2 linked regions of the Ovis aries genome follow. The protein of the gene in region 2 purifies or fractionates together with the protein of the main gene of each other region. This does not show direct contact. Links are inferred from orthologs where the notes say so. Each region holds a gene or a part of one and is shown on either strand. Other genes may lie near its edges.

Region 1 (3,812 bases), on a different chromosome or scaffold from region 2:
TTTTTTAGTTCCTTTACTCCTGTTATTTATACTTAGAGACACATCAAGACCTCCAGTCTCTTTTCTTTCATCTTCTCCCAATTTATCAGTTCCTCTCTTTGCTTCCTGCTTCCTTTCCTTCTTACCCCAAATCCCACAATCTAGCACACAGACTTCTCCCTTCAGCACTCTCAACCTCCTCATTTCCTCATCCCTCTGAAACACCAACCTGAATACCGACAATCTTTAGTCTTCGTTCCAATGTGTTTGAAGGTAATGGTCACACTGGTACCAGCTCACCACTTTCTATGTGATCCCAGGTATGTTAATCACTCAGAACACCCGTCTTTATCTAGGAACTAGAATAATATCTACCCTTTACAGGGTCATTTAAAGATTAAATACAGTAACTTGCACACATATTTTGTAATTCAGAAATATATCATGTAAGTCAGCAAATGCTGTTTCCCCTTTCCCTCTATCCACCAAATTCACTCCATGCTAACTTTGTGACAGTTTTTTTAATTTCTCCCACTGTATTTTTTTGTTTGTTTTCCACTGTACTTTTAAAAGTGTGTTTAGAATCAGTTTCTCAACACTCAACGGGGGGGGGGGGGGGGGGGGGGCTACTCTATGCCTAATAGGATGCTTAGCAGTAACCTCATCTCTACCCACTCAAGTTGTGAAAACCAAAAATGTCTCTACCAAATGTCCTCTGAGGAGCAAAGTCACTTCTGGTTTGAGAACCAGTGCACTAGATTAAACTTTCTTGACCAAAAGCCACAGCAAGAAAAACATTACACATCAGTGTAAACCCACATATAATATCTGAGACAATAAACTTACCAATACCTGACACCCTCTGATATTTTCTATTATAAAAACTGACTAGACCTATCTTTCATAAGGATATTAACTATCTCATTTTTGTACCCATATTACCTATCAACTGATGTACATAACAGGCACATGAATACTGGTTAAGCTGTCCAGAATGGTAATTTCAAGGTACTCAATGAAGTATTTTGTAGTCACCACAATAGAAATAATGATTAAATTAGTTGTCTACTTGTGTGGTGCTCTCTGCAGCTTTCAGGAAAAAAAAAAGTCTTCTCTCTCCTAAAATACTGTATAGCCTCTAATTCTCAACCCAGATGAGTAAAAGATGTAAATCCAGTAAAATATAAAATATACACTACACAGGTATACAACAATGTGTGTACTAGGCTAAGGTCTCAATAGTCTAACACCTCAGACATCAATCTTTGGGCTTCCCTCACAGCTCAGTCAGTAAAGAATCTGACTGCAATGCAAGAGACCTGGGTTCGATTCCTGGGTTGGGAAGATCCCCTGGAGAAGGAAATGGCAATCCAGTCCAGTATTCTTGCTTGGAAAATCCCATAGACAGAGGAGCCTGGTGGGCTACAGCCCATGGGGTCGCAAAGAGTCGGACATGACTTAGCGACTAAACCACAGGATATGACAAGATATGTCTAGGATATGCAGGCCACCCAGTAACTCAGACAGTAAAGAATCTGCCTGCAATAGAGGAGACCCAGGTTTAATCCCTGGGTTGGGAAGATCATCTGGAGAAGCAAATGGCAACCCACTCTAGTATTCTAGCCTGGAGAAGCCCATGGACAGAGGAGTCTGGTGGGCTACAGTCCATGGGGTCACAAAGGAGTCAGAACACAACTGAGCGACTCTAACACTAGGATGTAACAATCTCACCATTTGCCGATATTCCCGAATCATTTTTAGTTTGTCTTCTCCTCCCTTGTTTTCTTCTTTCTGTTCAATGCTGCTGATTATTCTCCAGGAAGCTCTTCTAGCTCCAATCACATTTTTATATGCAACAGATAGGAGGTTTCTTTCTTCAACTGTCAACTCCACATCCATCCCTGCTACTTTCTTCATTGACTCCACCATTTCTATAAGTGAAAAGAAAAATCAGACCTTAGAAACTAAGTTTTGTTAAAACATCCCTATCACAGTAAATCTTTTTTTCTGTCCAGCTAATGTAAAACAAAAGACACATTTTTTAGCAAAATATTGCTTTCACAATCAAACTAGCATGAGCAAAAAAACTAAAAAACATGTAAAAGACAAAGTAAATTAAGAGCTCAGAACAAGAGGATCTAGAAAATGACTTCATATAGTACCAAGTATAATTTAGTATGGCTTGGAGGCATCTCTCTCATGTAAGTAAGACAATTAGGCATGTACACCTAACCCATTTCCTAGTAAAAGTAATTCAGCTGGCCATTTAGGACAAAAGTTTTAAATTTACAGGCTCTAAAATGCATTTTCTCTCAAATTATTTCCCAACTAAATAATACTGAATTCCTACCCCCCCAAAAAAAAGTCATGGGAGGAAAGGGCATTCATTTATATAGCAAACATATAGCGAGCATTTTCGTTAGTCACAAACTTATCTTTGGATTTTCCAATCCTTCCTCCTTTAGAAGGGGACTGTCCACCACCTATGAATTCATTCATTTGGGTGGTTTTTACTTGTTACCACTAGATGGCGAGCAAACAAAGGGGCCCAGATAAACACTGGGAGATCTTGAGTACAGGGGGAAAAAATGTAATAAAATGCATGTGAATGCAAAGGAAGAACCAAAATCCCCTCAAGAAACACTAACTGAACAAATAATTAATGAAGGGACTTCCCTGGTGGTCCACTGGTGGTCCAGTGGCTAAGACTCTGTGCTCCCAATGCAGGGGGCCCAGGTTTGATCCTTCATCAGGGAACTAAGATCTGATACGGGCAAAGAAATAAATACAAAGAATTGCAAAGAATTAAACAAATATATTAATTAAAACTATGGTTTTGAAAATGACTAAATGTCGTTACCACCATGTGACTTCCAACTTTACAGAGTAAGAACTTTTGGTAATGAGACACAAGGATCTGCATTTTACAAACATCCTTAGCATACATTCTATGCATAATACATAATAAGTATATGCTGAAGATGGTGACTTTATGAAACACTGCTTAATGATATACTAAATTATGTGTAATCCCACAAAATGATGTTTTCAAAAATTGTATTTCCAGGAAGTATATCAGGGAGTTAATACAGTAAGTTAATACAAACATTAAGATGGTATGATCTCTAGAAAACAGTGTAGTTTCTTACACCATAAACTATACACATGTCCAGAGCAACTTTATTTATCACATTCAAAAGGTGAAAACAACCCAAATGTCCATCCATACAATGGAATACTACTCAAGAATAAAAAACTACTGATACAAGTAACAGCATGGATGAATTTAAAAAACACCATGCTAACTGAAAAAAGCCAGACCTAAATGGACTATGATTCCACTTAAATCGAGTTAGAGAAAAAACTGTAAAACTATAAAAGGAAGTGGCTATCAAGACATGGGGGTGAAGTGAGGGGCTGATGAGCAAAGGAGTACAAAGGAAATTTTGGGGAAATAGAATTGTTCTATGGTGGTTACACAACTGAACACATTTACTAAAACAGTTTTATGTGTAAACTGGGTATATTATAAAATCTTACTTCAATACCGCTGAATTTTTTAAGGCGATTCTGAAGCTTAAAAAAAAATACCAGAGCATATACGGTAATAAGACCATTAATTCATTGTGGGAGCCTGAGAGCATTCACTTGAAACATCCAATTTTTTTTAACCACAGCCATGGAAAAATGACTGTGGCAGTGTTTAGGAGTTAAGGGGTATCATTTCAAGCTCACTGCCACACTAGTTCTCCAACAAAGCAATTTAAAAAGCAACCTAGGGCTAAGGTAAAGGTAAAAGCTAAGGTTACTAGGTAAGGAATCCACCTGCCAAC
Region 2 (4,363 bases):
ACTGGAGTGCGTAGCCACTTCCTTTTCCAGGGGATCTTCCCGACCCAAGGATTGCAGGCTGAGCCACCAGGGAAGCCCAGAAAGTGAAAGTGAAAATATACTCAGTGAGAACAACCCCCAGGTCCAACACAATGCAAATCCATACAATAGAATATTACTCAGCCATAAAAAGGAACGAGGTCCTGCCTCACGCTGCAACATGGATGAGTCCCGAAAACATGAGGCTGAGGGAAACCGACCCGACACAAATGGCCACACAGTGTAAGACTCCACTAACATGAAATGCCCAGGACAGGCCAAATTCGTAGAAACAGAAAGAACATTAGTGGTTGCCTACAGTTTGGTGAGGGCAGGGCAGGGCAGGGGTTGGTGGGAGGGAGGCTGTGGGTGATGGCTAAGGGCTGTGAGGTTTCTTTTGGGGGTGATGAAAACGTTCTGCAATCTGTGGTGATGGCTGGTCAACCTTGGGCATGTACTAAAAACCACTGAATTGTACAGTTTAAAATGGCAGATTTGTGGTATGTGAATTCCATCTTGGTTAAAAATAATAATAATAAGAAATTTTACATGTGGTAACTTCCCTGGTGGTCCAGGGTAAGAATCTGCCTTCCAATGCAGGGGAGGAGGGTTCGATCCCTGGTTAAGGAACTGAAATCCCACATGCCTTGGGGCAGCAAAGACCCAACACAGTCAAAAAAAAATTTTTTTTAACGTGTTTAGAGCAGTAGACTGGATGCAAAGTAACACAAGGAAGGTGGGGTTTAGAATCAGAGGCCTAGGCTTGACAGGCTTCCCTGATAGCTCAGTTGGTAAAGAATCTGCCTGCAATGCGGGAGACCCCGGTTCGGTTCCTAGGTCGTGATGATCCACTGGAGAAGGGATAGCCCACTCCAGTATTCTTAGGCTTCCCTGGTGGCTCAGCTGGTAAAGAATCCGAAATGTGAGAGACCTGGGTTTGATCCCTGGGTTGGAAAGATCTGCTGGAGAAGGGATAGGCAACCCACCACTCCCTGGTGGCTCAAAGGTTAAATGCCTGGAATGCGGGAGACCGGGGTTCAATCCTTCGGTCGGGAAGATCCTGTGGAGAAGGAAATGGCAACCTACGCCAGTACTCTTGCCTGGAGAATCCCATGGAGGGAGGAGCCTGGTAGGCTACAATCCATGGGGTCACAAAGAGTCAGACACAACTGAGTGACTTCACTTTCACTTTTCACCCACCACTCCTGTATTCTGGCCTGGAGAATTTCATGGACAGTATAGCCCATGGGGTTGCAAAAAGTGTGACGGGACTGAGCGACTTTCACTTTCACTCCACGTTCAGGTTTGATAGGCTGTCTGAATAACCTCTTCCTGGAGCTGATTTATTCACCCATTGGTTTTGAGAAGGGACCATGAAATTAAGTGCAGAGGAGTACTTTGTAAACTGCAAGACAGCGGTAGTAGAAATGATGTAAGGGAACAGATGTCTCTGCGGGAAGTGAGAAGCTGCCGCACTCACTTCCCACCTGCAGGCCACTGGCTGCCGTGTAGAGCAGGGATTGTTAGAACCTTCTGTCTGCAGGCAAGATAACTCATGAATGGCCTCTCCTTGAGAGGGCCAGGGCTGTGAGGTTCAACCCTGCAGCCAGGTTGAGAAATGTTCCTGCCAGTCCCAACGAAACAGGCTGAAGAGCTGCCCACCAGAAGCCGGCCCGACAGGCAGGGCTGTTAAACCCCAAATAGGTCCTCTTCTCTCACAGACACACACAAACGTTATCAGTGTTATCAGTCAACTTCCCCCAGGGAGAAGGGGCCTGACTTGCCCAGATGCTGGCGGGGTCACTTCCTGGGCCTGCCTGCAGGGCCCTCCCCCAGCAGCCTCCTCTCCCTTCTCTATAAACAGTTCCCGTCTCCTCCTCCAGCTGCGGTGTCTACGGGTCAACACTCAGCCTGGCCACCGATGCTGAGTTTAGACCCAAGGCCCTAACTAGTTCTCCTGCTCAGAGGCCTGAGGCCCAGCCAAGCTCGGTCCAGCCCAGCTGTGCGCTCAGAGGACGAATTCCCCAGGGACTCCAGGGCAAGGAGCCAGGCCGGGTCACACGCAGACCCAGAGAAACCCGCACTGCTCAGAGAGGCACATTCAGCCCCCCAAAGCACGGGGGCGATCACAGGAACCCCAGAATCGGCCTCAGCCATACAGCCAGCTGCACATAAACAGCCAGCCTCAGGCGATATCAGGGACAGGAAGAGCCCAGATTGAGCTGCACACAGAGACCTAAGACACTGTCACCCAGCACCCTGAGCTCACTGTCACACAGTGACAAGGGATTGCCACTCACACCCACAGCCAGGGGCGTGCACTACAGAAACAATTTCACACCTTCACGGGGCACCCCTGCGGCTTCTCCCCCCAGCACTACACAGGCAGGGGCCCCAGGGGACAGGCCGGAACACACAGGAAGAGACACACAAGGTCCGGAATCTCAGAACCGGCATCTCAGGCAGTCTACCCAATCAGCAGTTTCAGTCTCAGGACAAGTACCCTGCAGAGTCACCCCTGATGGGGCGAGGGGGCAGTATCACACATTTAGTCACCCCCCAGACGGGGGTCACACTTACACACAGTCACCCCCCACACAGGACTCACACACACACAGAGTCAACCCCAGACGGGGGTCACACTTACACACAGTCACCCCCGACGGGGGTCACACACAACGTCTCATGCACAGTCACCCCCAAACAGGGGTCACACACACAGAGTCAACCCCAGATGGGGGTACACCGGCACTGCACAGTCTCACTGCAGTCACCCCAGGCCGGCAACCCAGGGGGTCGTCCAGCGGGGTCCCCGCAGGCCCGAGGACCCCTCAAAGCTGTCCCGGCGCAGCCCCCGGCGCCCCGCGCCCCGCACTCGCGGCCCAGGCCTCGCGCGGCGGCTGCTCCGCCGGGCCAGGGCCGCGGGCCCGGGGCTCACCTCGCTGTTGCTGGCGGAGGAGGAGGCGGCGCTGGGCGTGGGCGAGCGCTGCAGGGTCACCAGGGCCATGGCTGCGGTGCGGTACGGCGCCCGGGCGCCGCTGAGGCCTCCGGCTAAAGCCGCCGCCGCCGCCCGGGCCGGGCCCGGGGCGCTCCAGGAGCCGCGCGCGGGCGGCCGGGCCGAGCCGGGCCGGGCCCGCCCCTCCCCGTCGGCGTCCGCCGCCGCCCCCGCCCCCCGCGCCGGCGCGCGCCGGGCCTGAGCGCGGGCGGGGGGCGTGGCCCTCGCGGGGCGCGCGTGCGCGTGCGCGGCGCGGGAAGCCCGAGGGGCGGCGGGAGGCCCAGGCCAGCCAGTCACATCCCTCGCGCGCACCCGACGCGCGCTCCCGCTCCAGCCCGCCAAGCGGGGGCGCGCCCGACGGCGAGCAAGTCCTCCCCAAGAGGCCCCTCCTCTGCGCAGGCCGGGGAAACTGAGGTTCCGTGGCCGCGCAGCTTGGAATGCGCGGAGCAAGCAGGCATAGAGACAGAAAATAAAAACATGCTCGTCCCTGCGCCTTGAACCTCGAGGAGGGGTCTGCATAAATTCGTTTGTTCGTTCATTCATTCGTTTATGAAATATTTATTGAGCACTTATCAAGTGCCCCGCGTGGAGTATTCGACAGTAAACAACATAGAATTGACCTGCCCTAGGGGATTTGGCTCAGATGGTAAAGCATCTGCCTACAATGCAGGACACCCGGGTTCAATCACTGGGTTGGGAAGATCTCCTGGAGAAGGAAATGGCAACCCACTCCAGTATTCTTGCCTGAAGAGTCGGACACGACTGAGTAACATCACTTTCACTTTTCAGGGGATTTTATGAAAGTAAATTAAATTGCTAGAAACTCACTTTGCCCATCTTTTTTTTTTTTTTGCCCATCTTTTTATATGAATTCCCACCATGTATCCAGAAACTCAGCTAACTCCTTGGGAAGTTAGGGAGGGTGTCTCCAAAAAGGGTGCATTTGCTCTCAGACCTGGCGGATGAGCAGGATTAACGGGTGAGGGTGGGAGTGGACTGCTGGGCGTGATCTCCAGGGGAGAGCCTGCACAGTGGCCGGAAACGGAAAGATTTTCATCAGCCGCTGAAGCCCAGGGATGGGGAAGAGGGAGTCAGGGTGCTCTCTAGAAAGCTCTGGCTAAGGCTTAGAGAATGGACTGTGGAACAGAGGCGTGAAGGGAGGCCCGGGATAGGCTGCTCTTGTTGTCCTGGGGTAGGTGGCCAGTGTGGGGATGGGAGAGAGAGACATGGAGGAAGATACTAAGAGGGCGGCTTGACTTAGCGTCAGTTTCACCCAAATCCCCTACTTCTCTTCTTTCACCCAGCCCAAGCACGCACGCAACCGCAAATTTACTGGTCCAGTCCTTGTTC

What was found.
Region 1: the proteins of SSH1 (region 2) and YWHAE purify together in Homo sapiens (affinity purification with mass spectrometry; 3 studies listed by BioGRID and IntAct, with this or other methods). This does not show direct contact. The link is inferred for Ovis aries from reciprocal best matches to the Homo sapiens genes SSH1 and YWHAE.

What each region holds. Positions count from the first base shown.
Region 1 is NC_056064.1:22,417,723-22,421,534, forward strand, and holds part of YWHAE (14-3-3 protein epsilon), read right to left. Parts: intron 1,911-3,812; coding exon 1,711-1,910; intron 1-1,710. UniProt on the Homo sapiens protein: Adapter protein implicated in the regulation of a large spectrum of both general and specialized signaling pathways. Binds to a large number of partners, usually by recognition of a phosphoserine or phosphothreonine motif.
Region 2 is NC_056070.1:64,290,572-64,294,934, reverse strand, and holds the start of SSH1 (protein phosphatase Slingshot homolog 1), read right to left. Parts: upstream 3,112-4,363; 5' UTR 3,026-3,111; coding exon 2,957-3,025; intron 1-2,956. UniProt on the Homo sapiens protein: Protein phosphatase which regulates actin filament dynamics. Dephosphorylates and activates the actin binding/depolymerizing factor cofilin, which subsequently binds to actin filaments and stimulates their disassembly.